Neodiprion lecontei: one gene and its partners. The protein of the gene in region 1 interacts with the protein of each later gene in a biochemical or structural test. Links are inferred from orthologs where the notes say so. Each region holds a gene or a part of one and is shown in the gene's direction. Other genes may lie near its edges.

The links.
Region 2: of the proteins of cullin-1 (region 1) and sentrin-specific protease 8, one has a biochemical effect on the other in vitro, tested with the Homo sapiens proteins (2 studies listed by BioGRID). The link is inferred for Neodiprion lecontei from reciprocal best matches to the Homo sapiens genes CUL1 and SENP8.
Region 3: the proteins of cullin-1 (region 1) and cullin-associated NEDD8-dissociated protein 1 form a complex in vitro, tested with the Homo sapiens proteins (6 studies listed by BioGRID and IntAct). The link is inferred for Neodiprion lecontei from reciprocal best matches to the Homo sapiens genes CUL1 and CAND1.
Region 4: the proteins of cullin-1 (region 1) and F-box/WD repeat-containing protein 7 form a complex in vitro, tested with the Homo sapiens proteins (3 studies listed by BioGRID). The link is inferred for Neodiprion lecontei from reciprocal best matches to the Homo sapiens genes CUL1 and FBXW7.

What each region holds. Positions count from the first base shown.
Region 1 is NC_060263.1:15,794,376-15,804,220, reverse strand, and holds cullin-1, read left to right. Parts: upstream 1-2,611; 5' UTR 2,612-3,298; intron 3,299-3,459; exon of another isoform or gene 3,460-3,707; intron 3,708-4,239; 5' UTR 4,240-4,298; coding exon 4,299-4,462; intron 4,463-4,608; coding exon 4,609-4,771; intron 4,772-4,858; coding exon 4,859-5,077; intron 5,078-5,146; coding exon 5,147-5,401; intron 5,402-5,480; coding exon 5,481-5,774; intron 5,775-6,010; coding exon 6,011-6,304; intron 6,305-6,406; coding exon 6,407-6,586; intron 6,587-6,670; coding exon 6,671-6,820; intron 6,821-6,901; coding exon 6,902-7,020; intron 7,021-7,121; coding exon 7,122-7,242; intron 7,243-7,336; coding exon 7,337-7,443; intron 7,444-7,567; coding exon 7,568-7,787; intron 7,788-7,901; coding exon 7,902-7,982; 3' UTR 7,983-8,283; downstream 8,284-9,845. Other genes in the region: alpha-1,3-mannosyl-glycoprotein 2-beta-N-acetylglucosaminyltransferase, read right to left, coding at 23-256, 569-669, 745-850, 954-1,058. UniProt on the Homo sapiens protein: Core component of multiple cullin-RING-based SCF (SKP1-CUL1-F-box protein) E3 ubiquitin-protein ligase complexes, which mediate the ubiquitination of proteins involved in cell cycle progression, signal transduction and transcription.
Region 2 is NC_060260.1:34,564,296-34,570,091, forward strand, and holds sentrin-specific protease 8, read left to right. Parts: upstream 1-2,964; 5' UTR 2,965-3,086; intron 3,087-3,110; exon of another isoform or gene 3,111-3,252; intron 3,253-3,440; 5' UTR 3,441-3,525; coding exon 3,526-4,188; 3' UTR 4,189-4,490; downstream 4,491-5,796. Other genes in the region: protein phosphatase 1 regulatory subunit 7, read right to left, coding at 346-452, 535-565; protein transport protein SFT2, read right to left, coding at 1,817-2,087, 2,233-2,384, 2,600-2,791; fatty-acid amide hydrolase 2-A, read right to left, coding at 4,554-4,697, 4,808-4,990, 5,094-5,483, 5,687-5,796. UniProt on the Homo sapiens protein: Protease that catalyzes two essential functions in the NEDD8 pathway: processing of full-length NEDD8 to its mature form and deconjugation of NEDD8 from targeted proteins such as cullins or p53.
Region 3 is NC_060263.1:25,786,421-25,792,860, reverse strand, and holds the start of cullin-associated NEDD8-dissociated protein 1, read left to right. Parts: upstream 1-2,083; 5' UTR 2,084-2,381; coding exon 2,382-2,423; intron 2,424-3,597; coding exon 3,598-3,767; intron 3,768-4,054; coding exon 4,055-4,268; intron 4,269-4,375; coding exon 4,376-4,668; intron 4,669-4,777; coding exon 4,778-4,940; intron 4,941-5,572; coding exon 5,573-5,846; intron 5,847-6,440. Other genes in the region: UDP-glucose:glycoprotein glucosyltransferase, read right to left, coding at 1-43, 464-683. UniProt on the Homo sapiens protein: Key assembly factor of SCF (SKP1-CUL1-F-box protein) E3 ubiquitin ligase complexes that promotes the exchange of the substrate-recognition F-box subunit in SCF complexes, thereby playing a key role in the cellular repertoire of SCF complexes.
Region 4 is NC_060261.1:2,647,571-2,657,451, reverse strand, and holds the start of F-box/WD repeat-containing protein 7, read left to right. Parts: upstream 1-3,149; 5' UTR 3,150-3,464; intron 3,465-4,119; 5' UTR 4,120-4,182; coding exon 4,183-4,389; intron 4,390-4,473; coding exon 4,474-4,706; intron 4,707-4,855; coding exon 4,856-4,958; intron 4,959-5,029; coding exon 5,030-5,548; intron 5,549-5,943; coding exon 5,944-6,351; intron 6,352-6,511; coding exon 6,512-6,827; intron 6,828-6,926; coding exon 6,927-7,090; 3' UTR 7,091-9,881. Other genes in the region: vacuolar protein sorting-associated protein 4, read right to left, coding at 498-599, 761-1,203, 1,287-1,554, 1,652-2,028, 2,209-2,320, 2,411-2,434. UniProt on the Homo sapiens protein: Substrate recognition component of a SCF (SKP1-CUL1-F-box protein) E3 ubiquitin-protein ligase complex which mediates the ubiquitination and subsequent proteasomal degradation of target proteins.

The sequences.
Region 1 (9,845 bases):
GATGGGTAATAAACCAGCTTACTCTTATGTGCGTCAGTTGTTCTCCATAACTTTGAATCACATTCGTAGTCGGTTCGTGTTCGCAGTCCTGGCTGACAATGATCGGAAATTGTTCGGCGCTTGGCCTCAGTCTGATCAGCTGATCGAGACATCTCTTCACAGTAACTCTGTTGCATGAAAATACTAGAACTGCAATCACGGGTTCCTCATTTGTCAGTGATTTTTCTGGTGCAACATGCTGAGCTTCGTCTACCTGCTGAATAGTGAATATAAAGTCGTTTGAAAACTAGGAAATGAAGGGTGAAGAGGGGAAACAGCTATATTTCATCGCTCGTTGAAAATGATATAGCGATACCATTATTATTGCATTAAAGAGTACTTTCCGAAAATACCACTGTTGGATGAGAAATTCAGTATTACACCTCGAAAAACCTGCCAGTAGAATCGATACCGAATGTACTCTTACGGAAAAGGAAACATTCATTTCCATTTTTCTTGATATCAGAATGAGTGGACTATAGCAGTTTTTCCCCTGGACCCTTCAAATGTCTTACGACAAAAAACTCACTATTTTCAAATCCTCTTCGGCGGCTTCTAGTTTGTCTCGTTCGGCGTTTTGCGCCTCTTCTGCATTCTTCACGACAGTAGACTCCGCGTTTTCTGCTTCGTCTGAAAATCACGAACGTCAATAAATCGATGGAGCTTCAATTGACCGTAATAATTCCAATTCAAAATGAGGCTTACTCTGATCCTGTAATTTACCACGAAGATGTTGAATGAGTTTTTTATTCTCCGCAAATTGCTCTTTCACTCTTTCTTCGATATCACGAATTTTCGCTGCGATGTTGCCCTGTAATTTTGGAGTTGGGAATAATTTTTAGTCATCAATATCAGGGGTGTATTTCCAGAGTTTCATTATCAATTCGTGCACGGAATCAACACTTGATATTCACCTTATTTTGTTCTTTGCCGATTGGACGATCAAGAAATAGAAAGTAAGTTATGACACCCCATACGCAGAGAGATGCGAATATGAAGCTGATTGATTTTTTCCGCATGGCACCACCGAACGTCACCTCATCTGCGAATGTATTTCATTAACACATTATATATGTATATGTATAATTTGTGATGATGGATGTATCACTGTCGAGATATCAAAAGGTTATCAATTCTGTGATTAACTGTGACAAAAAAATCGAATGGAGGATAATGTGAATGTTAAATATTTCCGTGTTCATAGAGCATTATCATTCATTATCAGACTACATTCGGTTTGTGATGTTTATTCCCATTCAGTGATAAGAACTTATCCAATGCAGATACTCATCTCAAGCTTGTGAAATTATGACATAAAATATCATTCCTCCGGAAATTGTTAGGCTCGATTAAAATTTTGTTACGATCGATTTCACGTTTAGCAAATTCGCACACAATATCAGGTAAAAAATGCTCTCTGTCAAAAAGAATTTTTTAACTGTGTCCGGACAATTGTTATTGCTTATTACCTTTGGTGTTTACGTTTCAGATGTTTTTTCTTTTCAAATTTTTCTATCGGAGTAGCAGAAATTAAGGGACGAGTGACTTTCCAAAACTTTGAGGAAAATTCGTAATAGCGAAACCACGTCTACAGATACGTTATCCGAGAACAGCTCTTTGACGGCTTAGTGCCACGTTTATCTTCTCGACAAATGATTATTATTTGTACAAGTGCTAGGTAAACTAACCAATACATAGACTGGAATTAAGTCAAGATATATTTACCGTATTTCTGTATTCAGCTGACATTAATCGGCATTTAATACTGTCACAATATAAGCCAGTAATAATTATCCTAATAACGATTAATCTTCACATTATTTATCCCGTTTTTGTTCAGACACGACTGGTGAAGTACGTAACGCGTGTCGACGACAGCAGGCTGCAGCTTTGCTTAGCGCAATGTCAGGTTCTGTCATTACAGCATGTTGTCATTCGATGCTATGATTGCTCTCTCCTTTTCGCTTTGACTTCATTAGCCTCACTGACAAGCTCGAAGCTATCCAAAATACTTATTCGATTTTTTCCTCCCCAATTCTCGGCGAGAGATTAAGTTTGCTCAGTTTTTTTACCAGTAGTTTATTTTTCTTTCTCCTGCCTCCCGCCCCGCACCAACGCGACCGTGAATGATCAGTTTGTGTGGATGTTTATTTGCCCTTGTATGTGCATAATAAATGATTCGTTACTTGGTCACTGGACATTGAGAAGCGGATTATTCAGCATGAATGCAATGAGGGGAGAAATTGCCGACGGCAATTACTGATACAGGGTCTGTGAGTGCATATATGGTGCATATGGTGCGTTTAAGTTTAGAGAAGTGTGTTAGCCTATGCATGCATAACACACAAGCAGAGGTTCAGCGCATGCACAAGTATCGAACACCGAGTTACGACTTTTGATTATCTACGACCAGGCTGAAGTTATCGAGAGAGCTCAGCTCAGTCGGCCAAGAAGAGTGACTCATAATTCGAGAACTTTCCGCATGCGCTGCGTTCGACCTTGTTAGACAACATGGTGGAACGGATCACGCGATGACGTAGGTGAATGCAAATGAACATTTAGGCGAATATTCTTCCGAGTTAACGTAGTTGAGAACAGGTCGAAACCGCTGTGCTACAAATTGTCCGTTTGCGTTTTTATCCTGAGGTTTCGCGTTTATTTATAATGACGGTATGCAGTTCGCAGCCGATACAAAGAAAATTGAGTAATTATATAAGATCGATTGAAAATTTTGCGCCATCATTATCGTCATTATAATTGGGTAGCCACCAGAGTCGCGCAAGTTCGGCGTCTTGAACGATAAATACTGAATACAGAACACATAATAATTAGTGGGTAAAAGTGAATAACTGGAAGTCGAACGCGCGTCGAATAGTCCGATGACCGCAGTCACCCTCGATCGAAAACAACGAACGGCCAGCTCAACGCCAGCCGAGGATATCCCAAGCTCTCTGTCCCAAGGATAATCTAGTGATCTCAGATTCTCTGTAGCGAGCCGAGAGTCTTGAAGTTGGCTGCAGTGTGACTTAACCTGTCAGAAAACGGAGAAAAGCACGGAGCACACTCAGTATCATAACCGACTTGTTAACCCACACGTACTGCGTATTCGTTCAGACAGATATTCAATCCTCTTTCGTGTATACATATATAGTGGTTCAAATTCTCGTCCGTGCTTTCCAACCAGACGCACCAAATCCACGATATTTCGCTTTTCAACGCAAGGCTCACATATTGTTATGCGGTGGTGACTTAGCGCCAGGTGAGTAAACCTTCCTTGTCTCCGAGATAAGATTTCTAGTTTGAGAAAGAGAGGAAGAAAAAAAAATGTTGTTTCCTTCGTTTCAAATGGCATTGAGGAGAGACAATGGGACCTTTCGCGTAGGTTCTTACGTTTCGTTCTATCGACCGAATCCACTTCTTGCTTTGTATTTTTCGCAAAAATTTTACCAAGCGTAGTATCAATTTCTTAGTTCTTTTTGTTTTCTTCTTCACTTCTCGCATTATTCTTTCACCGTTTCTTTCTATCGCATAATCGGGTTACCCCAGTTACCATTTGCTCGCTAACGGAATTAACCCCCTTCTGTCACCATTGCTCTGCATTTTATGTTCGGATTCACATTTCCGTTAACGAGTTAATCCGCGTTTCGGTCACACTACAGTATCTTCTGGTAAATATTAGCAGAACCGTTGATTGGTCTGATAGTCTTCGAATTTTGGATTCCAATCTAAACATATAACTAGGCTTTTATTTGCTACACACAGCCGATTTGGAGCTGTAACATTTTTAAAAACGATTCTCAAACCTCTAAGACGTATATTTCAACAAAAATATTAACGAATGAATTACATGACAAGAAAGAACCCTCAAACAAAGAAGATTGTTTGAGATATTAAGATTGGCACAACAAAACTCTTCTCCCACATTTCACACGTCAATCGTATCTATGTATGCGCATCTTATCTGCGGATAACCAGTCCCTCGTTCATCTGGAATCTATTGTATTTATTTGAAACAGCGTGTTCAGAAATCTAGATAAGCCCTCTGCGGCTGGAATACATAATTTTACCACAAATAATAGCACCAACATAACATCTTTCTTTGTATTGCCGTGCGATTTTTATCTCCATCAAATTATTAGTATCGCCAGTCACAGTTGAGTATTACAAAAGAACGTGTGGCATTTCTTATTTCATTTCCAGAGTTATTCAAGTAGCAGGTAATTAGAGTGAGGCTGGTCAGACATTAATTTGGGAATAAAATGTCTGGACACAGAAGTACCGGTGGCACCGGAAGCCATCCTACTGGTCCTCAGGGTCTCAAGCAAATAGATCTCGACCAGATTTGGGGCGACCTGAGAGAAGGCATCGAGCAGGTTTACAACCGGCAATGCATGCCCAAGCCAAGATACATGGAGCTCTATACGTATCCTTAGATATCAACAATTGACTTGAAAGACATATTTCAAAATGTTTTTGACACTCAGCTTGTGATACCTAAAAAAGAATCTATCAAAAATTTTACATAATGTATTTTATGCTTAACTGTAAAACTGATGTGAAAAAACACAGACACGTGTATAACTATTGCACGAGTGTACATCAGCAGTTGAACAACAGGACGTCGATGAAAAGTAAGAAGGGTCAAATATCGGGCGGCGCTCAGTTAGTTGGGCTGGAATTGTACAAACGTTTGCGAGACTTTCTGCGGAATTATCTCATCAGTTTACTGAAGGTGCGAGACGCCGATTAGTTATCCTTATCCAGTTTTCTCTTGCTCTATTCTTGCGATATTCAATGCCTGATTTCAATCCTCGTTTAGCATGGAGTCGACCTGATGGATGAGGATGTGCTGAAGTTTTACACTCGACAATGGGACGAGTATCAATTCAGCAGCAAAGTCCTGAACGGGGTCTGTGCGTATTTAAACCGTCACTGGGTGAGGCGAGAGTGCGAGGAAGGTCGAAAAGGAATTTGTGAGATCTATCAGCTGGCGTTGGTCACATGGAGGGATAATTTATTCAAACATTTGAACAAGCAGGTAAAACAAATGAGGTGAATCAGCGTATTTTCGATGTCAAATTACCCACTTTTCTCCACTACTTATCAGGTAACCAACGCGGTGCTCAAACTTATAGAACGAGAGAGAAACGGTGAGACTATAAACACAAGTCTTGTCAGCGGAGTGATTAATTGCTATGTTGAGCTGGGTCTAAATGAGGAGGATCCGGGCGCCAAAGGGCAGAATTTGTCCGTCTACAAGGACTCGTTTGAGAATGTTTTTCTTGATGACACTGAACGCTTTTATACACGCGAAAGCACTGAATTCCTACGACATAATCCTGTCACAGAGTATATGAAGAAGGTGTTTGACGAACATATAGCGAAACTAACGCCAAGAAGAAGGAGTGGGATGTTCATACAAATATTTTCGTTTTTCACAGGCTGAGCAGAGGCTCCTGGAGGAAGAGAAAAGAGTCAGGGTGTATTTGCACCAGACGACACATGAGCGTCTAGCAAAAACCTGCGAAAAGGTCCTCATCGAGAAACATTTGGACATATTTCATGCAGAATTCCAAAATCTTTTGGACGCTGATAAAAATGTCGATTTGGGTCGAATGTACATGCTTGTCGCCAGGATACCGAATGGTCTTGGGGAGCTTCGCAATCTTCTCGAAAGTCACATAGCTAGTCAGGGATTAGCTGCTATCGACAAGTGCGGCGACTTTGCGGTTAACGTATGTAAATTTACCGATCAAACTTTAATAACTGCACGAAATTAGCCATCAAGTTTCGGGTCTTTCGATAGGAAAATGTTTGATGAACGAGTGTTGCTATTTGTCTCTTTCTTAGAAGCGACTTACGATTACCTGGATTTATATTGCAAGAAAGAAAAAGAAAACAAATATTGAGAGAATCATGAAACTGAGCTTATTAATCATTACTATGTACGGTTATGGAAATTATTTTTCAGAACTTTATACTTACCATGTTGTTAGTGCAGGATCCTAAAATATATGTGAGCACTATCTTGGAAGTTCACAAGAAGTATAATGCGCTGGTATTGGTTGCGTTTAATAATGATAGTGGATTTGTCGCTGCTCTGGACAAAGCTTGCGGACGGTTCATTAACAGCAACTCTATTACACGAGCTGCTAATAGCAGTAGCAAATCGCCAGAACTCTTGGCCAAGTACTGCGACCTTTTACTCAAGAAGAGCAGTAAGAATCCGGAAGAGGCAGAGCTCGAAGATACACTTAATCAAGTTGTAAGTTTTATCTAACTAATAGCAAAGTGTAACATCATCTAACTCGCGATCTTATCATCAAATGAAACAGCGAGGTTAAAATAATGTTCTTTCTTCGTGTAGATGGTAGTTTTCAAATATATCGAAGACAAAGATGTATTCCAAAAATTCTACAGTAAAATGCTTGCCAAACGGCTCGTGCAGCACATGTCTGCCAGCGACGACGCTGAAGCGTCAATGATTTCAAAGCTGAAACAAGCTTGCGGATTCGAATACACTTCTAAACTACAGCGCATGTTCCAGGTATCTATACGTAATCACGTTGACAGATTATATTCCACTTTTTACTATTTTACCTTGTTTTATTGAAAATTTATCGTCCTGTAGGATATCGGAGTGTCGAAAGACTTGAACGAACAATTTCGAAGGCATTTGATAAATTCTACGGAACTTCTGGACATCGATTTTAGTATACAGGTGCTGTCGTCCGGTTCCTGGCCGTTCCAGCAATCTTTTACATTTTCTCTACCCACAGAGGTACTAGTTCTTTTTGCATACTTAGGTAATAATGTACGTGTCCCGAACAATCTATGCAACGCATTTGGTTTTGTTTCGCAGCTGGAAAGATCTGTGCACAGGTTTACCACTTTCTATAGTTCTCAGCACAGTGGGAGAAAATTGAATTGGTTGTACAACATGTCCAAAGGGGAATTGCACACAAACTGTTTTAAGAACAGGTGAAAATTTATTGTTAATCTCTTGCATCGCTGGCTTTGTTTTTTCTTTTTCTTTTTTATAATAATTCTCAATCTCTGCTAATTTCGTTTTTTATTTACAGGTATACTCTGCAAGCTTCGACCTTCCAAATGGCGGTTCTATTGCAGTATAATGTGGCTACACTTTGGACCATGCAACAACTTCATGACGCAACGCAAATCAAAATGGATTTTCTTGTGCAGGTCCTTAACGTCATAGATTTTTTTAAATAAATTTCCTGACTTATCGTGCTTTGCTCCATCTTTTTAATTGCTTTATTTCTTATTTGTAACACAGGTTATACAGATTTTGTTGAAAGCGAAGCTTTTAACTGTCCCTGCACACGAAGATGAAACTAATTTAACTCCATCGTCAACCATCGAACTATTTGCAGCATATAAAAAGTGAGTGAATACATTTCTCCTTCACCTTATTGTCCAGAATTCGTAAATCTCGTACTTTTTCACATGTAAAACTTGAAGGCTTAGAACTCATTATTGACCAACTATCGAATAATTTTAATTGCAGCAAAAAATTAAGGGTAAATATCAACATACCAATGAAGACGGAATTGAAGGTTGAACAGGAAACGACCCACAAGCACATAGAAGAAGATCGCAAGCTGTTAATTCAAGCCGCGATTGTAAGAATTATGAAAATGCGTAAGATCCTAAAGCACCAGCAACTCGTCGCCGAAGTACTAAACCAGCTCAGTGCGAGATTCAAACCGAGGGTGCACGTTATTAAGGTGAGGGTTAAGTTGATTTCAAGGATTTGTAAATTTTCAATATACAATCTTCTTTGACGGATGTACACAGCTTATCATCTTCTCGCTCATTTCTTTGATTTCTCTCATTCGCAGAAATGTATAGACATTTTAATAGAAAAGGAATATCTAGAACGTACGGAAGGACAAAAGGATACGTACAGTTACCTGGCATGATCTGCCTAAGTGAGACAACAAAGTAGCAGCTGTTTAAAACAGGAGAAACAACTTCTGCCGTACGCATCTGTCATTGTTGCTGCTGCTGTTGTATCTACGTTACAATATTTATTATTTACGTCGCACACAAAGTTCTTGTATACAACATAAGCCCCCTCCCCTCCTTTCGGCCCTGTATGAAATAATTGTCCGACCGATCGCATTTAGCAAAAATGAAGAAAAAGAAGGAAGAGAGAAAAAAAGAAAGAAACATGGATTTTATAAAATATTATTAATAAATTTCTTTCATAGTTCAAATTTATTCGGTTATAAACGTAATTTGCAACTAATGACAGCCGGAGAACAAACCTTGTGGTTTAAAATTAAATGAACAATTTAAGTACCAATTATCGATTTGTATTGTTTATGGAAGAAGGAGCAAATGCAATTTTGCTTCTACGTTAAATTTTATGATTGTTTGCTCGTGTCGTAATCTTCGAGACACGCGTGATTTTTTTTCCTATGTATTCAGTATTTTTTTATATTTTATTAGATGCGTACACCTGTTAAATTAACTAGCTGAACAGACTCGAAACGCATCTTCTATCTATAGATAATTTTGATAAATACTTGCATCATATCGGGCACCTGTTTTTTTTCTCGTTTTGTTATCAAACAATCCTTGGTAATTTACGAACAACGTTTTTTATCACTGTTGTTGTAAATTGATTGTAAGCTCGCTGTGCGTTACCGGTTTTCTTTTTTTTTTTTTTTTTTTTTTTTTTCCCACCAAAAGGTAAACATGTGAACTTCTTTGGTTTGAGAAAACTTCATGGATCATATTCAAGATGAAGGATTACAGATATTTTCTTGGCATAATTGTAATTATTTTTTTTTCTGATTTTTATTCTACTTTGTTCTTGATTGATCGATAATTACGTAATGTTAATAAAATATTTTATTGTAGTGTATTCGAATTTTAATAGCCACAAATCCTCCTGTTGTTATTGTGATTTTTTTTTTTCTAATCTTCTAGGGTTGCGCAAAGAAATTTATCTTTATTTTGCGATGGTTTTTCTTTCGTTTCATTATGATCATCGTGTAATGCTTAAGGACCGTAATAAGATTTTTGTGAGGAAGTTGTTGGATTGTAATCGAATTTCGCCTGTTCTGGGGAAATGGAAAGTATTGCAAAATCCAAATGGAAGTCATGCGAGATACGATTTAGAGACGTTTTATCAGATTCTAAACAAGACGGCGATGAAACAGAAAGAGAGAAGAAAGAAAGAAATGTCCTTAGCAAATAAATAAATAAGTACGCACTGATGTTTTATCGTAATTTGCAACCATAATTAAACGATACGCGGTAGTTAGATTCAATTTTTAGGATGATATGTAAGTAGGTAACATAGCAGGTACAATTTGGGTCGTCAATGAAATAATATTTGATTTGATCTAGTTAAATTAGTAAGGATATTCTCAATTGTTTAACCATACTTGAACGTGAGATAACTGAAAATTGAGGAATGTAAAAATGAATGGTGTGTACACAGCACTAAGTCCATGGGATTAGTTAATACTGCGATGCGCCGTATTATTTAAACTGACAAAACACAGGGGTAAAGAAAACAATAGAATTCTACGTACAAAATATATTTTATTTTATTGAAAAGCTGAAAAATTATATTTGGAATATGTGGCTAAAAGTCGGGAGGCATAAGATGTAAGATGAAAAACGAGGGTAAGAAGTATAAAAAAAGCATTGAATATTTTAATAATCGATGACAGCAATTTAGAAGGTAAAATTATAGAAGTATGCGTGATTTCATTTGCGATGAAAACATGAAGTGGATGTTAAAATGGGTTTTTCCTTTTCGTTTTTTT
Region 2 (5,796 bases), on another chromosome or scaffold:
CGAATTCCAGGCGCAAACATTCTGTGGCGGGTATGAAATATGAGTTTTAATTGGCTCAGCTGTTGATGGTTAGAACATTTGTTCCATTCATAACCTCAAAAACGAATGTTCAAAGAAACAGAGTCGGCATTGTGTTAAATGAATGCAATAACGAGGGTAGTGAGACGAAGCTGGTTTTGTAATTGCATATGATGCCCCAATTTTCCAATTTACTTTAAACGATTCGCAACGTCAAACATATTTTCAGCCAATAAACATCGAGACGCCAACGGCGGATGGGCAGCGTTGCCAGAGTAATTTAAAAGTAAGCCTCAGTATATGTTCTAAGAAGTAAACCTGACTAACCTCGGTATCCGGATCGATAATCAATATTTCCCCCGGTTTTTCATCCTCGATTTCCGGCACCTCTTTTTCGGAATCCTCCTCACCGGACGCCTCGCCGTGTTCCTTGTCTGTGTAACAAACATAACCGTAACCATAACATAACCTTAATGTAACTTGTGAAAATATCGTTACTCATAATGCCCGATATACCAATTCGTTGATAATTACCGTTGTTAGCCATCGCCCGCTGTTTCAGATAGCGAATTAAACAATCAACCACCACTAGCAGTTTAATTACTAATAAAGATCTGATTCCAAAATTAGACACAATAACTCAGATGCCGGATGAATCAACTTCCCTCGCACCCAAAGGGCAAGAAGTGAGTAATGACAGTTAATCACGCTCGCGTGACGTCAACACTCGAATGTATCGAATTGCCCTCAAATTCGATTTTCAGCAATCGATATATGTAACTTAAAGCCAACGTCTCGCGTGACGCACTCTCCGCCTTATTTTGAACGACTCGCTTCCGACCCTCCCGACCCACTTACTGCAAATGTTTATAAGAGGATTTGCAGAACAAGTTCAAATTCATTTTACGAAATATCTAATTGATAAAATATCCCATTCACTTTACATGATATTGTTAAACAACTGAGTCAAGATTATTGAGCTGCAAAAAAATGTTCGAAATCTTTAAGCAATCTGTTGTTGACGGAAGAGTATATCTTCAGTCAACAACTCTGCACTGACGTTCGAGTATTGTCAGCAATATAAATTGACACTATCGCTATTTGAGTCACTGTGGATTTGAGCATATTGCATATAATTACAGGCTAACTACAGGAATTATAAGTTGAGGATTACGCGCAATCAGATGAATAACTATGAGATACTGATTAAATTTTTTTTTTTTTTTAACAAATAAACTGTTGAAATAAACTTTATAGACTACGTATTGTGAGAATACAAAATCGTGTGTGGTTGTTTGTCATTCCACACTCGTTTATAATTCGCGAATGAAGCGTATGCGTAATTACAACCTCGTGATGAGATAATAATTGGTGTAGTAAACATTTCAGAGTTGATTTTCAATTGTAACTGCGGAAAATTGGTAGTTATTAATTTTTGATGCTTTTGCTAACTTATGCCTAGTTACAAGGAATGTAAATTCACACAATCTCTCGTCAGAAGTTATTTCCTCTTTGGTGAATATAGTGGGTCCTTGTCTACCATGTCATCCAATTTAAGCTAAAATTCTTATTGAACGATCGAATCCAAATATAAATACTTGACATAATTTAATAACAGTATGATCCTATACTTATGTGAACACATAAATAAACGGATATCGAAGAAAGGACGCAGTGCTGAATTGAGTCTGAATTGAGCATAAAGAATCATCTAGACTTGTAATACGTTTTCCAACTCATTACAGACTCTGGTTTGACAGCCACCTTATCCTTTTTGAACCACAAAATTCATCGACACTCATACGGGCAGAGTTGAGCTAACAGAAGATTTGAACATCCTTGTGAAAAACATGAGTCCTGATGTACCGCCCGGAATATGGCTAACCAAAAAAGACAGCATGGCTATCAGCTGCATTACCGCGCACAGAACTGTGAACGGTGTCGACTGTAAATGCAACGCGAAGTAAAGGGTGCCGATCAGCGTTGTAAAGTATGAAATAGTGAAGCACCTTCTTTCTGCGGTGAAAAGCGATCGCAGATAACTCATTGGACCCCATAAGAAGCAGAAGCTGAAAGAAGACAATAAATGAGAAGATTGTCCTATTTAAGTTTGCAAAGCAATGCTATGCTCATTTAAAAACTGGAAAATTAAATATTAACTTCAGGTAAAATTGAGCATAGCATCGCTTAAGACTTCAAATGACAAAACAATACCTCATCAGAAAGAACAGGCTTCCTAGGGAGTAGAGTAATGCAAATTTTCTTGCTTTCAGCAGCAGCACAGGAATGTAGATTGCAGACAAACAGAAGCACAGAACTCCCATGAAGAAGCATACAGCAAAGGCAGTCAGTCGTTGCAGTCTTGTCTAAAATAAGGAATTGGCGAATAAGTTCTGAGAAAGACTGAATGCTTCAAGTTGTGATACAATGCATCCGATTGATAAAGAATGATGAAAAATAGTCGATATACTGCTGGGCCATATGAATGGCTAATTTTAGTGAAATTTCTCACATATCTGCATCGAACCTGTGGCTCAAAATATGATATTTCTAGGTTATGACGAAAGACCGTGATACCGACCATGCTGGGACAGCAGTCCTTCTTAGTCTCTTTGAACCATCCAGCCTCCTCTTGCGGCTCCTCTTCCCCTCTTCCTAGCCATTTTCCCAAAGACGGTTTCGGTATCGATACCGAGGGTATACCAATTTTGAATTGCTTTTCATTTTTACTGCTGAGAAGATATTCATTCAACTCTTTGTTTAGGTCGGCCATCGTGATACGTGGCCATGTTGAGTCAGCCGTGTAAAAAAATTGTCGATAAAGAAGCTCGACGGCTCGCCTCGGTGTTAACGCTTAGATTAGACCAAAGTGGTCTCTGCAACATAGTCTGTAATCACTTAAATTTTTATTTACATGCCATTTACCATGATCTATTTACTACATGAATTTTTGTGATATGTCAGCGCTATTCGTGATTTTCGCTACTCGCCACCATTTGTCTGGTCAGTCATGAGTGAGGTCCAGTAAACAAAGTTGCGTGTGCTGTCCATAGTCAACAAATCCCAAGGTCAACATAAAAGTACAATACATACAATCATGCATACAATACTAAAGTGCATTGTCCTATCCACTTTAATGAATACGTGAACAGATGTCAAACAGACTAATTAAGGCTATCTCAGCGATGAGTACCTGTTAAACAGCGGGTTGAATCGGTCTCCACATTATTTTTGGTAACTTATTTCTCAGAACCACAATGTTATCAGTGCTGTTTTGAATTATGATTGACAATTGCGTAATGCAGTATGACAATTTTGATTTCATGTTTGAATACCTTACAAGTATACTGATATAAGTCTTCATTCATGCTTCTAGCTTATTATCTCTTATTAACCATGAACTCCACATCACTGATTTATAGGTTAAACATTCCTGCGAAACGTAAGACATTGGGTTGGTAGTACGGCGGTGAGTTGCAATCTGATAATTTGCTACCAATATTGAAAATGTCTAAGAAAACTGACAAGAGTAACAGCATTGTCTTGAGCTATCGAGACAGCTTGCTAAGAGAGACTGACGTGCAGCTCCTGCAAGGGCCACATTGGATTAATGATGCAGTTATTGGATTTTACTTTGAATACCTGGGTGAGAAAATGCATGAGCAGTCCGAAGGTTTATTATTCGTTAGCCCAGAATTAACTCAACTGCTGAAACTCACAGACCCCTCGGATTATGGCATGCTGTTAGAACCCATTAGAGCAAAGTCAAGATCATTCATATTCTTTCCATTAAATAACTGCGACGATAAGGAAAGTCCTGGTGGCACCCATTGGAGCTTACTTGTATATTCTAAGCTGGAAAGGATATGCTTTCACTTTGACTCATCTAAAGGTATGAACAGTCAAGTTGCAAGAAATTTTGCAACAAGTATTGCAGACTACTTTGGCATAAAGAGATTGGGATCATACCTTGAAGTTGATACACCACAGCAAAGTAATGGCTATGACTGTGGACTATATGTTTTATGCACTACGGAGTTAGTTGCCATTCACGCAGCCTCAAAGTCACAAGTTAAAGGATGTGACTTTTTAGGCCTTGAAGCATTGGTTAATGGAAAGCGGAAACACTTGATAAAACTGATTAATTATTTGAGAAACGACGAATCATAGATCGACAGATAACTGCGATGGTGAACTGAATAGTTGCATTATTTTCGTATGAATAAAAATTGATTTATTCGGTACATAAATATATATATATATATATATATAAATATTATCTTAGCTTTGTAGAATACTTGGAATATTACAATAGATATTAGTATCCTCAGACTGGAAAATCTTTTGTTTAGGCCTGTTGCTAATATAGGTAGATTTCATACTTTGTTTCAAGAATCGAGGTATTCAATGGCAATGTACTGTGTTACGTCTTTAGAATACATTCTTTGAATAAGTTTATTTTCGTTTTGTAATATTGTTGAAAAAAAGGAAAATTTCAAATAAAAAATGTATTACTGTTCACGCCGCTTTTACGATCATGTATACAGTGCAATATCTGTTGGAACTTCGATCGTCGCACCGTTTTCGATAAGCGGCGGCGGAACCCACCCACCAAATGCTCGTCCAATTTCTTCCGCGACAGCAAGGGTTAAATGATCTTGATACATGCCGCCAATAACCTGAAACACACAACACAGATAATACAGTAAAATCGCCAACAGGATTGAAAATTGAACCTTTATTTATAATTAATCCTAAAAAATTCAGTGATTTTAATGTGATACATTACCTGTATACCAATGGGAAGACCGTTTTGATTAAGACCCAATGGGCAAGCTGTTGAAGGCACACCCAAGACGTTGATAATTGCAGTATAAGAAAAATTAAATGGTTTGATCAGTGGCTCATGATGCATCGGCGCTGCGGTGGGATGTGTGGGATATAAAAATATGCCGCCGTCGTCTAGCATGTCCTGAAAAAAGGTGATATTGAGGTTTGAATGTTACATGATTAATGAAGAGAAAGTTCGGAAATCGGATGAAATTTTAAAATGATTAACTCTTAACGTCCTGTACCTTAAACTCTAGATAAAGATCTCTACTTTGCTGAATAAGTTTCGTATGTTTTTCGCTCCCGAATTTAATTCCGAAACTTTCAACTAGTACAGTGATCAATGCGATCAATGTATGAGGGCCCATAAAGGTGAACCATTGAGCCAACTTCCACCATATATTCAGCACTCCTGTCCGGTTGGACAATTCATATGCAAATCCTCTCGCATCCTTTGTACTCATGTTTGCCAACCAAAGGTCAGTACTCTTTTTCATCTTTTTTAAATCTACTTTTTTTGCCTTCACCTTGTGAACTCTGGCGAAGTAATCAATGACGCGATACATTGCCTTTTTTATTTCAGGCTCAACTGGGCTCACCAATAGCTGCCCACCATCATCTTCCATATAATAAATCTGAAAATGATGGACTTAGATTATCAAATGTTTGAAATTCGATAACAGTTCTTTGAACGTATTCTTTGTTAATTCCATACATTTGGAGAGAATACAGTAGCAATTGGACAAAAATGATGTTTCATTAACTATTATTAATTTTCCTAAGATATAAACCTATTCAATAAAAACGCGCTTTTCAAATAGGAATAATATATTCGTACCTTCAATTTGGAAAGATCCACTTTACTATCTAGATTAAGCATACTGGCATTCTTTCCAGCTAATACTCTGAGCATAGGAATCAAGTCAAACGGATTTCTGCACATCGGAC
Region 3 (6,440 bases), about 10 Mb from region 1:
TTCGTAGCTGTGATAGCGACATTGTATGCATCTCTTTCCATGGCTATAAATATAATGCGATGAAGAGATTTGAATTGTAAATTTGATCATTTTTGCAGCAACAGATTTAACATGCAGGTTGCTTCCAGTTTGAGGGATATTCATGATATTACAGTTCCTTCTCAAGAAAATGACAAGAAAGATGGAGGCTACACGATGATGGGTATATATAAAAAGTTAATCAGATAATTAAATAATTTGTACACGTAGAGAAATTCAGGGTGTTTTTTGCAGGAAGTCAAGTTACGGATGTTAATCAGTTTGCTCATGGCTGAGTAGTTGTCTTTAATTACAGAGAACATGTAATTTTTCAATTTTACTATTTACAACCATTACGTCATGTTGTTCTATAATATAGAAATGTTAGAATTATATTTGATAATAAATTTAACATGTAGTTGAAATTACATTTAAATCAACTTACCATTTGGTGGCAGCAAATATGAACTGCTCGATATTTCATCGACAAATCCCCAGAAGTAGTCATGACTTTCATCACTGAGATACTCCGCTACCTCTAGTATCAGAGGCGTCTCTTTCCACTTGGCATCGATTAACGTTGTTACATATTTATTGACTTGTTTATCCGCAGTAATTTGGTTTAAGCATAATACGAATGAGTACCAAAGTATAAAAACCCACATCTGTAAAGTTAAAACCTCAGCATTAGAAATTATTCAACTAAATACCTAAAATCTGTCTGGCACGATTGCTACAAAATCACAGGAATATTAATTTCATGAAAATTACATGGAAAAGATAATAAGCGAGCTTCTCACAAACGTTATTTCTTTATTTAAGCAATTTCAGTTGCATTGACTGCAGAGACCCGATATATCGCAAATTAAAAGCAATTTAATTAAAAATGCTTAATAGCACATTATTCTGAACCAAACATTAACATAGAGTTAATTTTATGGGAGATGTATAAGTATTACTCATCACACCTTGCAATATGTAGTCATGACACATTTTCGAATAAATTTGGTCATAGATTAGGTATAAAGAAAGTGCCTGATATAATTAAGCTTATCAAAATTTAAGGAAGCAATAACTTCCGTTTCTTCTTTGGAACATGATAGAGCCATACATCCTCATATTTCTGGATTTTATTATTTATATAAATAACGTTTAAATGAAATAATTGAGAAGTAACTAAGAAAATTTAGCCTGGGAAAATAAAAATACTTTCAAATATTGGCGAAACTTTCAATTTTATATCAAATTGCTAATATGCCAAGATAAGTCTGTTAGAACAAATACGGTACCTTTGAAAATAAGTTTAGTTTTTACGTTATACGTTATGAAGAATTTATTAATGACAACAGCCAATCCATGCAGCGCACGTGCCACCGGGTACTAGTTACTACTACACAATCGTAACTTTGAACAAAACTAGCCTCATACTAGCCTCGTCAACTAAACCACAATTATAACCTGCACGACCACCTTGCGAATTTTCAACTATTTTTCACTACATAACTGGCATGCTGGCACTTTGGTACAAAAGGTAACAGCTTCACCGGTTTTTGACGGCGGAGTAGGGACAGACCACGACTGAAGCAGAAAAGGAACTGAGAGAGCCTACGCTCGGGCACGCTCAGGTTTTTCTTGTTCTCGATCTAGTAGCGCCCTCTGACACGTAATAAATTTTTGTAACTAATTTTCGTGGCGCGTGGTCGGTAAGCCGGCGGTACATGGGCGGTGCGCATGCATAGAGATCTGTGGATGCAACGCAATGAGCGAACAATACTTTGCGGTTCAGCCATGGAAAGGCTAGAAAATTAGAGAAATTGCATTCAATGCAGACTTTTCCTATGATTTAGGGTGCATTCGTAATGTCTATTTGGTCCGGCGGTCCACCGACTAGAGTGTTCGTAAACTTCACTCTGCGGCGGGCAGCTTACAAACCCTGACTGTTGCGTCAGCTACATTCGGATTCACAATCAAAATTAAGTCTGTGGTCAAACCCTTTGTTGCCTCATAAAAAAAATCACTTCCGAGCTGGCCGTCTATTTACTACAACGTTCTGCCTGATGAGCTTTAGAACACGTATTCAGTATTAACATTTCCTACGTCCGCGGTATTAACCGTCACGTTTCGGCACTTCACAGTACTTCGTACAGAGGGTGGAAATGTTGCTTACCGTGGTATCTCAATAGAAATATTTTTTATGGTGATTTTTGACTCACCACGGAAAGTTAAGAGTAATATAAATCTTGTGTCTTGACGGCACGGTTTAACACACGAGTTGACTATTTCAATACTTGCATTTCATTATCGGTACCGTGCCGCGATATAAACAATAATTCGGCCGGCTGTGGACATTTTTACCCATTACCATGGCTAGCGTTTCGTATCAAATAGCAAATTTGCTGGAAAAGGTGATACATGAATATACTTCTACAAATAATAAACTACTTTTGTTACAATTTATGCAATAATTCGCCAGTAACCAAATCAACTTGTCATGCAATGGAGATAAAACTCTCGTTACTTAACCTATTAATTCATTTGCTATAGTCATTGGAATTTATTATTTCCAGGCTATCAGAGCAATTCGTGAAATCAGTTGCGTCTTTTATCATTAATAAATTATTACATTACGTAGATAATATACATCAAACTTCCTGTTTAAACATGTTATTCTAATTCTCTGTACGTCAAGTTTTCCAAAACAAAGAGGACCAATACCTTATGAGTCAATAATTTTGAAAAATATCGTTATAATACTCAATCGTTTCAGAATTAAATTTCAACTATTTCTTTAATGAATAAATATCATCATTGGATAAGACGCAACGAACTCTCTCAATCTACTTAAGGTTATTGGTCGACTTTCACACTTCATTTTTAAGCTGACTTCGAATAGTTGTTATTAATACAGGAAGATTCACAAATAACCACTGGTTGTATGGTTGAAGGTATTTTATCTTCATTTTAGGCTCTGAAATCGAACAAATGGTCACTTGCGAACCTTGCCGTAAGAATAGCTGCTACTTGAACTTAATTCGAACATCAAGTACACACACTGAATTGTAAAAACAGGGGATTTGTCAGAAACTCGATATTTTACTTGGGCTATTACAGTTTATACCAGCATACTATCTTTATTAAACCTCAATCATCGATCATTATAGGCTAAAGATTCTAGTCATACTCTTAAAACATTAGTCTGGGAAAGCTGTGGTGGAAAATGTTCTTTATGAAAACAGTAAACTTTAACCAGTTAAAATATTGTGTAATCCATAATGAATTTTACAATTTATTTCTTTGACTCTATTAGTGCACAAGACAAGATATGTATATAACTCAAATTAATTGTCTGTTCACTGTTGAAAATCCGAATGACTTTCTTACATTATCCATTTAGGGGTCTCATACCTGATAAGGCATTTTACATAATTAAATTTATTTATCTAGAATTGTTTTGATTCTTTATACTATACACGAGTGACATTGTAATATGTCAAGTCATGGGTCGTTTCGATATCGGGTCAATTGATATTGATGCTTCCTATTGTGAGATATATAGGTCTATATTAATTTTTGTTTTAGATGACATCCAGCGACAAGGATTTTAGATTTATGGCAACGAACGATCTAATGACTGAATTACAAAAAGATAGTATAAAACTTGATGATGAATCAGAACGAAAAGTTGTCAAAATGCTTCTCAGATTGTTGGAGGATAAAAATGGAGAAGTGCAAAATCTTGCCGTTAAATGGTATGTCTTTGATAATATCAGTCATGGACTGAATAAAAATCCATTCCACTCAATCGATCTCAATTCACATAAAATTATTATAATTCACAACCAACTAATAAGATAACGAAACAACCGAAATTGATATTTTAATTACAATAGTTTAATTCCGACACAATTTGATAGAAATTTGGCATGAAGACGTTTGAATGAGAAAATAAAGCGATACTGAAATTAAATCAAGTCAAAACTGTAGATCGTAATAATAATAGAAATCTTGTAGAAATTTACATTTTCTTTACTTTCAGTTTGGGTCCTTTGGTCAACAAAGTGAAGGAATATCAAGTGGAGACAATTGTCGACGCTCTCTGTGCCAATATGTTATCTGATAAAGAACAACTCAGGGATATATCGAGTATAGGTTTAAAAACCGTTATTTCGGAGCTGCCGTTAGGATCAAATGCACTCGCAGCTAATGTTTGCAAGAGGATCACAGGTCGCCTTAGTAATGCTATTGAAAAGGTAAATAGTAGTGAAAATATTATTGGATTAGTGATTTGACTAATCCAAGTACAGAAATATTGTCTCTTTGAAATATGTTCCGCTTAATACTCCAAACTTTATTCTAGCAAGAAGATGTACCTGTACAACTCGAGGCTCTTGACATCCTTGCAGACTTGTTATCTCGATTCGGAGCTCTCCTGCTAACTTTTCATCCGACAATTTTAGCAGCTCTGTTACCACAGCTGTCTTCTCCACGACAGGCTGTAAGAAAGCGCACTATTGTAGCTCTCAGTCACCTCGTCACATCGAGCAACAATCATTTGTATAACAAACTTTTGGACCATCTTTTGGATGGACTCACGTCTCAAAAAGTTAAGAATGTTATTCGAACTTACATACAATGCATTGCCTCGATCTGGTTAGTACATTTTCACTATTCTAAAGTATACATTTTTTTACTGTGCCTTTCGGTAAAGATTTAATGTATAACGCAATTTCCATGTTTCAACGTATTCGCATCGTTACAGCCGTCAAGCAGGCCACAGATTTGGAGAACAAATCGAAAGAGTGATGCCATTCATTGTACAGTACAGTAACGAGGATGACGATGAACTAAGAGAGTACTGTCTCCAAGCATTCGAATCTTTTGTATATCGCTGTCCAAACGAGATTACTCCACACATAAACAAGGTATTATAGGTCTTTTTTATATTTGATATCACCAATGACCATCGATATATGTGCACAGAGAATATTTTGTTGAAGTAACTGACCCTGTGTTCAAGAATTTTTGAATCTCATGATCTATCGTAGTTCAAATACGATAGGCGAAATAATCAAATACAATTCATTTTTTGTCAATTATCTTTATCCATGAGGCGATAAACGAGGAAATAGTCATGGAACTTCATTGGATGAAATATTCAGAAAATTCTGGCATCCACAGGGCATTAACACTATTCCTTACTCATTTACTGTCGAATTTTTCATGCTTCAACAGCTTTTGATGAATTTAACGACTAGTAGCAGGACAGAATTAAGATGAATACGATTTCAAAATGGCAATGGCAATGAAAGAAGTGTAACTTTCGTTTTATATATACCAAATATCCCGATATCATAAATATTTTACTGAACGGGTTAGGGAAAAATAATCCTTTTTATTGTGAAAAGGAAGAGATATTCATTTTAGTTTCAGCTAATTTTTCATCACTTTCAATATGCCATAAAACATTCATTGTCATGTCTATAAACACTGTAATTAATCAAATGACTGCAAAGTGGTTAACTCAGATTTGTTAAAACTTGAAAACCAATTTCAGATCATCGAGATTTGTTTGTCTTATATAACATATGATCCAAATTATAATTATGATGATGATCTGAGTGAACAATCGGATGGAGATTGGGTAGTTATGGAAACTGAGGAGGATGGTGAAGAAGACGGAGAAGATGAGTACTCAGATGATGATGATATGAGCTGGAAAGTACGCAGAGCGGCAGCAAAGTGTCTTGAGGCTGTTGTTTCGACCAGGCGTGAATTGCTCCCTGAATTATACAAAGTTGTTTCCCCAGCACTTATCACCAGATTCAAGGGTGCGTTGACTTTGTTCATAATACGTCTTAACTGAATATATTTCGCTTCTGCTTTGCACCTTTTTTCACCCATCAAACGTCAAAGTGTCTAGAGTCGGGAAATGTCCAGGAATTTAAGACAATCTGGTAAAATGATAGAAATGTCAGGGTTTTAATGGCTTAGTTAGCAGAATTTTACTGATTTTTTTCATTGATACTGCTCCAAAGCAAATATTCTAGCCATCATGTACTACATCTGTATAAAGCAAAGACGTACAAAGAAGTACGTATGTTATAATTAGAACTTGCGCTTGTGTTAATTTGACGAAAAATGTAAAATTTTTTCAATAATCAAGTACAAAACTAGTTCACACTCTTTAATGCTACGTATGCTTTTATTTCATGAAAATAAATATATACCATGAATTATCTTCATGTAAAAATGCCAAATGTTCGTTGAAATATAAAGTCTTGACTATTTCAACTTAATACAAAAATATTATGCGTATAATTCAATGAATTTATGTGAGAAAAGTAAGTTTCCTTGGTAAGGATAGTTAAAATGAGCTCTAGGATAAAATCAATATTTTTTCCTGGAAAATCAGGAAATTTCAG
Region 4 (9,881 bases), on another chromosome or scaffold:
AAACCGAGGGTGAAAAAAGCAATTGACTGATTAGCAATGCCAAGAGTAAATTTCATGTAAGTGCAGCTACTTTGTTCGTAAAATTGCAGATTATTTTGCTGCGACCGTAGACATGACTTATTATTCATTTATTTTTATTTATTTCTGTCAAACGTAATTATAATATTTTCGCAGATAGATAATGTTGTATATTTAATATTTATACATTATAATTACATGTAAAATTACGCCCAAGGACTGGTGCCATTCATGCTTATCGTTGATAATTTATATAATTTTAATTCAATTGTATATCATCGACAGCAAAAGAAATATGTCGAGTATCTTACAAGGACTTGAAAGAAAATCTGGTGAAGCTATTTTTCATTTTCTTGCTTTTTTTTCATACAAACGCTAAATCTGTGTTTCATCCTAATTCGGAATAAGGCAAGCGTGTATAACTTTGTGTATGTCTTAATTGTGGGTGAAATTCTTTTGTAACTGGATTGTAGATTGCTTCAGCCTTCTTGGCCGAAATCTTCCTTAAACTTCTCCAGCTTTGCCATATCATCCTCATTAACTGTCGGACGTGTGGTAGCCAGTGACTTCATCATGTCTTTCTAAATTGATAAAAATAAAAGTCGTTAGAATCATCATTAAAAAATTTCACTGAATAGAAAGACAAAAAATACACCCACAATTCTGTGCATCATGTTTTTGTTTACAGAACTATGAAAAAATTAGCAAATAAATTTATAGGTATCGGCTAACTCATCCTTACCATAGTGACTGGAGGTTCGAAGAGCTTATCTCCCTCAACTTCCATCCAGGTCATTTCGATGGCACCAGGTGAGCCCGGAGAGCAAGGGGTGAGAAGGTCATCGACAATTATTGTTGGATCTTTCGGAGAAGGTCCGCGCACTTTTTTGAAATGGGTGGCCGTTTGAACTTGCCTCACAGGCTGCATAAGTGCGTCACGAACAATAATGCTTATGTCAGCTCCCGAGTAGCCATCAGTTGCGGCTGCTAATTTCTTAAAATCATCCTCGGACAGGACGTGAGCGGTATTACCAAGGTGAAGTTTGAACATAACCATACGAGCATGCTCTTCTGGAAGGGGAATATAAATTCGCTTCTCAAAACGTCTTCTGATTGCAGAGTCCAATACCCAGGGTATATTGGTTGCACCGAGAACAAGAATTCCCTCGTTGTCAGTCCCAACACCTAGAAGAAAAACAAAGGGTGCGTTACATTCAAACCCTGAATGAAACTGGGAAAACTGAGCTCTTTGAATTTTATCTTCACACCTTGCATTTGAACTAGAAATTCGGTTTTTATTCTGCGAGCAGATTCAGATTCGTTGTCTGATCTTGAGGAGCAGAGAGAATCTACCTCATCAATAAATATTATACTAGGCTTGCGTTGGCGTGCCAATTCGAATAGATTCTTCACTAGCTTCTCAGATTCTCCGAGCCACTTACTGACCAGGTCTGATGAAGATACAGACAAGAAAGTGGAGTTGTTTGCTTCAGTTGCTACTGCTTTTGCTAGATACGATTTACCAGTACCAGGAGGCTGGAATAAATATAAACATATATAGTGGGAATACATAACAAATGATACAAAAATATACATATAACATAAATTGAAGGGTTTTGGGTCTGAAACTTACGCCAAAGAGCAGAATGCCTTTCCATGGGATACGTTTCCCAGTAAACAGATGTGGGAAACGAATGGGCAAGATAACAGCCTCTTTTAGAGCTTCCTTAGCAAGGTCCAACCCTGCGACATCACTCCACTTTACTTGTGGTTTCTCAATTACTATTGCCCCTTCCAATTTGCTTTGTAATTTCTTTTTTTCTGGATCGCTGTCACTGTCGCTATCCCCACTGTCACCCTTTTTATCATCGCTTTTAGAATTACTCTCTCCATCTTTGACCGGTTTCTTTTTTCCCTTCTTTAGATATTCCTTCAGCTTCTCAGCTCGGTCCAGGTATTGTAAACACTTTGTCCTAATGCTTTCCTTGGCCCGTTCTCCCTGAGCCTCATCTGAAAACAAGTTTGATTGGTGAAATGAAGCGAAGTTGAATGAAGTGAACATTGAATAAAGTGTTTGCATTTTGAAAACAAAGTCAACAAATATGTATTTGAGAAAACTTATTCATGCCACAGAAGTGAATTGGAAGAAGAATCGAGAGTCTGAGGCATGTAAATACTGATGATGTGTACATTTGATTGAATGAAGAAAGTATTCAACGCCGTGTTCATAGTGCTTCAGAGCCTCTTCATAGTTTTTGTTCCGATCTTCCTCGGTGGCCTTGGTAACCAGGTCTATGGCTTTCTGTATTTATACGGGTAGAAAACGAGAATAATTGGTCAATTGAAAATATCCAGGCTTAAAATTTGAGGAAACCTTCCCAATAGTTAGTACCTGTAATGTTGTTCCTGCTGCCATTTTATTGTGAAATGGCTCCTCCCTAACCTTAGCTCACCAGAGTGAAGTATGCGGAATTCAAGAAAGTCTTGAACTGATGATATTAATGCTGTTTTATACACGTGCAAAAAAAGCTCAGTTATCCATAAATAAATTATCGAACGCACGTTGCGTAAACTGCCTCGATCGCTCTCGATTGGAGAAGTTTGCTGTTCTGTCAAATTTTTAACCTTCAAAATTTAGGTCTCTGACGTCACTGACGGTGACTCCTACTCTACCATTACCATGACCCTACCACCGCTGCATCGGGACTATCAAGGCAAAAAAAACCTTGGGCGATCTCATTTGAACGCAGCTTTGGCGTCCTCTCACGGAGTTCCGGGTGAACTAGTCGTGTAGAGATGTGGAAATGAGCACTGATCTCGTGAGCCCCAAATCATAAACCGACACTAGCGCTACAATACCCGAAGTTAAACTAACGGGTCACCCGGGTGATAGTCTATCAGAAACAGATTTAGTCACATGGTCTTGTCACTTTAACCAATGACATACGCAATAAACCACGTGATTCGTTAGTTCCACTAAGGCTATTGAGGCGCTGGTATCGATTTCGTCTGCTTCTGATCGAATCAAAAGGGCCTAGGTCGCTAGTCACTAGTCAGCCATCCAGTTAGTACAGAGATCAGTGGAAACGCGGCTAGAGTGTGTTGAGAACGTGGTCTTTTAACCGAAGTAAACGCATGTGCAAAGGCATCGTGCGAAGCACGGAGTTCGAAGGGAACAACTTCGGTTCGTCGATGGATCCTACGCCGTGTTTATCAGCGTTTATTGTTTTTATTTGCAGAGTTTAGTGGTGGAATAATAATTGTGGGGAATAAATTTGCGAGATTATAACCTAACCGAGGTGTACCATACGAGAAATGCGTGCCGTGTGTAGTTGATAGAAAATTAATTACAACCCCGAACAAGTTGGGACGTCTCGCGCGAGGCGAGACACTGAATAAACCCGTACCGCTGAAGGAAGGCAGAGAAGTGGAAATCAGTCGACCATGTATGAACCTATTTGATTTTTTCCACACTTCTTTCACCGCCGTTTTGCATCTAGCCATTTTATCGAGTGGTAAATCGCTCCCTGCTTCCCAGGGTGTGGCAAACCGGCCCTTTGTTACATTTTCTCTTAAAGGCTATCTTCAAAATGGCAAGTTCTACTTGTGCTCTTTTTCAAGGTTAGGGTTTACCTCAATTGTAGTTCGAATTATCATCCGTGTATTTCATCCGTGTGATTTTTATCACACACCTCAATTCACCTCTCTTACCATTTTCACATATTTTCTTTAACCTCCATTAAAATCTAATTCAATTCATTAATACCTCCGACTGATTATTATTATGTATCAATTGCTTTCATTTCATTTCGAACCAATATCATGACCATACTTGTCGTCGATCACAGGTGTAGCATAAACAAGTTTCTTTTCATAACTGTGGCTCAAATTAGGAGCAATATTGCAAATTGGAAGCTTTTCATTTTTAATAGCAGTGATTTGGAGCTCTTAACTTTCATTTAATATTTACTCTATCTCAAAGAATTCTCTAGCGGCAGTGGCTGTGCAAAATTAGCTCGATATGTTATTTTAGTATGAAACATCTTTTTACCGTCCAAACATTACACAGCAAAAGATTAATATGACGACTGTTTGACCTAGAGAATCTCACTCCAATATAATGCTTTCAATTTTCTGGGCCTGTGATAACGCCAGAACTCAGTGATGTCTACCCCTTCGTCGTCGTCCAAGGCGTTAGGAGGAGAAAAACCAGGAGGTACAAGCCCTAGTCCCGTTGAAGGTGTTGAAGGTGTTCCAGGACCAAGTACACTAGATCCTCTGCAATCCGCACTTGTGCACGATGGGGAGTCTGAGGATTATGGAGAAGAAGGCGAGGAAGAAGAAGAGGATAGTATGGATGAAGAAAGCGAGGTAGATAAGAGAAGAGCATTGTAAATACAAAAGTATGTTGTCGTTACTCTGCTTATTTAAAACTTTCTTTTCATCAATGTTCAGACAAGTGATGGGGGCATGTATTGCGATGCCGAATGTGGAGAAGAGAATGATGCCAACGACTGCCATTCGTTATCGTTGCAATCATCGCCGACATTACCACCGAGACCTCTTAGTCCCATACTTCACACATGTGTTCCACTAGACGCAGTACAGCCTCAGAGGAAACGTAAAAGCGAAGCTGAGTCTACACTGCCCTGTAAAAAGCTTAACCCAGAGGAAAAGACTTATATTATGTGAGTAGTTTGAACTTGTTACATTTTTTGTTTTTTTGAAATTCAATATGGTACATACAATTGTTTAACAATGCCAATTTGCTTGCAACAGGGAGATATAATTGTGTTAGATCATTGTAAACTATTTTTAATTTTAACTAATTTTGTAGGGTTGTGAAACGGGTTGACGACAAAGGGAAGCATGTGAGAAGCATCATTCCGACCCGAGACAATCCCCCACCTGAAATGAGCAGTTGGTTATTACAGTTTCAGGTAAGTGGTGAAGACTGTGGAGTTTATGTTATTAATGACAATTGACCTTTGAGTAAAATAAATTGTTACAGAGATGGTCAAATGCAGAAAGGATGTTGGCTATTGATGAGCTAATAGAAAGATGCGAACCAACCCAAGTTCGGCATATGATGCAAGTCATCGAACCACAATTTCAGAGGGACTTTATTTCGTTACTCCCTAAAGAGTTGGCATTGTCAGTCTTAGCCTTCTTAGAACCAAGAGATTTATTGCGAGCCGCGCAAACATGCAGAAATTGGCGCTTTCTTGCAGATGACAATCTATTGTGGAAAGAAAAATGCCGAGCAACCGGGATAGAAGACCTTAAAGATCTACCTACGCCAAAACGTAAAAATAGTCGAAATTCAAATAGTTGCTCCTCGCCATGGAAGCAGGCGTATATGAGGCAGCATAACATAAAAATGAATTGGAGAACTAAACCGATTCGTACACCCAAAGTCTTAAAGGGTCACGACGATCATGTCATTACCTGTCTCCAGTTTTCTGGCAATCGAATTGTCAGTGGCTCAGACGACAATACCCTCAAAGTTTGGTCTGCTGTTACAGGAAAGGTAATTCAAATGTTTTAAACTCTATTTCCCGTACTTTGTAACAATTTTAAATTATTCTTTGTCAAGTACCTACTTTATAAAATACTGTATTCGGTAAAATTCATATGATTATTTTGTTAGACCCAAGTATTCTGTACGATTTTGTTATAAATTACAAAATTTTATGTTTGATATTGTATCACATCCTATCTAGTCCTATGTTGAATGTTGCGATATTACTTTGTTTAAAAATACTGGGATTTTTTCACATTCATTTCTATTGCACCATTTTTAAAGCATCTAAATAATGTTCATAGACGTACCCGCTATGAAATAAGAACATTGCTCCATATAAAACACGCAGAAGCAAGCACCCTCGATATAAAAATAAAACCACATCAATTTTATGTCAACAGTGTTTAAGAACACTGGTTGGGCATACGGGTGGTGTCTGGTCCTCACAGATGTCTGGTACTACAGTAATCAGTGGGAGCACAGACCGCACCTTAAAGGTTTGGAACGCAGAGACGGGCCAGTGCATACATACGCTTTACGGTCACACATCGACAGTAAGGTGTATGCACCTCCATGGCAACAAGGTGGTCAGTGGCAGCAGAGACGCTACACTAAGGGTGTGGCAAGTTGATACAGGGGAGTGTCTCCATGTTTTGGTCGGACATCTCGCAGCTGTTAGATGCGTGCAATATGATGGAAAACTCGTGGTCAGTGGGGCTTATGACTATATGGTCAAAGTATGGAATCCTGAACGAGAAGAGTGCCTTCACACACTGCAAGGACATACCAATCGCGTTTATTCCCTTCAAGTAAGAGCTTTTGGAAGAAATCATTGCAGTTTAACTTTATGTAATAGGTGTAATATTTAGTATTATTATCCGAAACAATTTAAAATGTTCTTAGCAAATAGCTGCTGCGGTATAATTACATCATTTAATAGTAATTGCTATTTCCTCTTGTCTCGTTTAGTTTGACGGTATCCATGTGGTGAGTGGATCGTTGGACACGAGCATTAGGGTATGGGAAGTTGAGACGGGAGCGTGTAGGCACACCCTGATGGGTCATCAGTCTCTTACTTCGGGCATGGAGCTCCGTAACAATATTCTTGTATCTGGTAATGCCGATTCTACAGTCAAAGTTTGGGATATTGTTAGTGGGCATTGTCTGCAAACTCTTTCCGGGCCAAACAAACATCAATCCGCAGTTACCTGTCTGCAGTTTAACAGTCACTTTGTGATTACATCCTCTGATGACGGGACTGTCAAACTGTGGGATGTTAAGACTGGTGGGTCTCATCTCTTTGCTCAAAGCAATGTCACAATATCAGAGCTACCGCATTGGAACCGAACTGTAAAATGATATTTGTTTTAAAACGTGATTTTAGGAGACTTCATAAGAAATCTTGTGGCTCTGGAGAGTGGGGGTAGTGGAGGTGTAGTTTGGAGAATTCGAGCAAGCGATACGAAGCTGGTGTGTGCCGTGGGCAGTCGTAATGGTACCGAGGAAACCAAACTGCTGGTTCTTGACTTTGACGTAGAGGCCAAATAGTCTTCCCGTCTTTGGGCGAGACGACGCCTCTATGTGACTTCTGTACATACTATAATTAGGTAGCATAACCAATCTACTGTACAATGTTCATGTATTACATGGTGTGATTGTGATAAGACTGCATGAAATTATTGTGAAGGGAGTTCTAAAATGAGCGTTAGGTTCTTCACAATGAATATTTGTTGATTGTGGGTCGTACGTACTGCAAAGTACAAATATAAAATTCAAATCTTACGGCAAATTGCGGAATATTAGGAGCTATCGAAGTTATTACGCAATTGTTGGACAATTCAGGATAAATCTTATCAACGGATTCATACTGTTCTGAAAGAATTCAATTATTGGCATGTACATATTATGTCCTAAGAGGAAGCAAGATCTTAAAGGTTTACTGCGCTAATCAGCTCAGTTTATAGAACAATTTACAGAATTACCCCGTGCTGAGAAATCGCTGTAATCAAAATTTCCATTCACACAGAGCTGAGCTGTGCCCCATTTATTTGAATTGAAATAAAGTTGATTTCGTTTCTTCTCACAACTCAATGTGAAACTTGTGCAACTCATCAAAACTTTAACGTAAAACCTAGTTTTTTTTGTTTTTTTTTATCGAATCATTGAAGAAATATCGTAAGGAATTAAAATTAGCGACTTTGTATGTACAAAGTTTGGCATTTTTTCTCTAGATTGACTTCTTCGCTCTTATCATATATATGATGGAACAAAACCACTTACTCGTTCGATAGTAATAAATGGGACACAGTGCACTTGACAAGTCCGCAAAAACTGCCCTGAGATCTAGTATGTCACGTTAACATACGTTAAGTTGAACTAAAGTACAACGAAAATAATGGCCAGAAATATTAAAAAACAGTACGAAAACATTCTAAAAAAAAAATTAAAGGTCTTTGCTATTCGCCGATTCACTTTTTCTTCACCGGGCAACCGCAGCAGCGCAAAATTTGTTACAATATATCAGTTTCAAATATACGAGACTTACCTGATGTTATCTGGGTATTTAGAATGCTATGCCGGGTTGAAAAGTCATATTTTATCGCACAAAATATATGTATATATATTTATGAAATATATATATATATTTTGTTCCCACGTATCATCCTCAGATAGGAATAGGTCGAGAATTGGTGCATATATACATATATACATACATACATATATATATATATATGTATGTATGTATGTATGTATGTATCAAAATTGAATCAATAACGCATATCTTCTGGACCTTGTGATCTTCAATGATAAGATTATAGCATGAGTACAACAAAATGCATGATTTGTGTGCTAGAATTTGACTTGGAATTAATAATGTGGACACTCAGAAAGCAAACATTTTTCAATCTATGCCAGTAAAGCAATAATTGTTGATTGATTTTTTTTTTTCCTCCTTTGTCTTTATAAATTCTGTTGAATTATTTTGAACGAAAGTGGAAACGAGTGAATGATTAGGGCATTATTATTTTCGAAAGAATTATAGATTTCGTTAATTTTATCAATTACTATTTATTGCTGTTAAATTAATTCGCATCGGGATCTAGGTATTGAATACGGCGATTGTTAATTTGAAAGAGAATATTCCTCTTGTGAATATCGCCTGGAAGAATAAAAAGAATTTTTTTTAATCTTGTAGAAATTTATTGTTTCATTTGTATTTACATTTGGAAAATGCCGTGCTAGAAATAATATTAGTATTTTACAATCAACGATGATCTCTTAAATGGATCAAATTGCACAGCAATACCTACGACTAACATACTATTTATCAAAGAAGATTTAAAAAAACCGTCGGGTTCTACAGGCATTTAGAATCTACCTTCTAGCCATCCCTAGATTATTATATTAAATCTTGTCACGTATCTTATGCGCATAAAATTGACTGATTAGTAATTCCTTGGCTGCTAAAAGTTCATAATTACCGTATTGAGTGAGACATGTTCATAACACGAATCGAACACGGCGTACACTCCAGCCTATACTTTATATTTAAGATGGATCCCAGCTAATTCAAAGTTACTTAAACAGAAAATAGAAAATAAAATTCGGATTCAACGGAATCTATGAAGGATCTGTAATGCTTTTGTTGAACATGTGATCGTCCGTTACGGAAGATTACGTGCTTTACACACTATCACAATTTGAATAAATTTCGTTGCTATTGCCCTGGCACAACAGAAAGCGAGGCGAGCATAAAGTCAATAATAACTAACATAATCAAAGAATTACACTTCTCGTCATGTACGTTTCTATTGTTAATATTATTATTACTGAGACTTGCACGCAATTTTAATTCAATTCTGTTTTTGAATAATGAGATCCTAATGTATGTGCCTAAATTAATGAGAAGCATTAGGAGTTGAAAAAAAAAAAATTTCGGTAAATTTTCTATGTACAATGAATGAGTACATGTATATCGTATATTTTCATTGAAATGAGAAAGAAACTGCGGGTAAAAAATTATTGATAGGTGGCGAATATTGTTGTGTAGTGGAATGTAGATTTGATTTGCATATAACTTGCTAAAAGAAAAATTACCAATTTTTTAGGGTTGAATTTCGTATTTCACAAAAATGTGTTAGTATTATATGACTGAGGTGTAAATCTATAATGAGCGTTGGAAGAATTCATTATCAATATTGGATTTCTTTTCTTACAGTAATATCGTTTTCATAATTCTTTAAAGAGCGTACAGCTAGGATGAAATTGAATTATTCATATTATGTACAAGATAAAAAATTGAAACATCATTCAATTACCGAGTAATACATAATAGAAA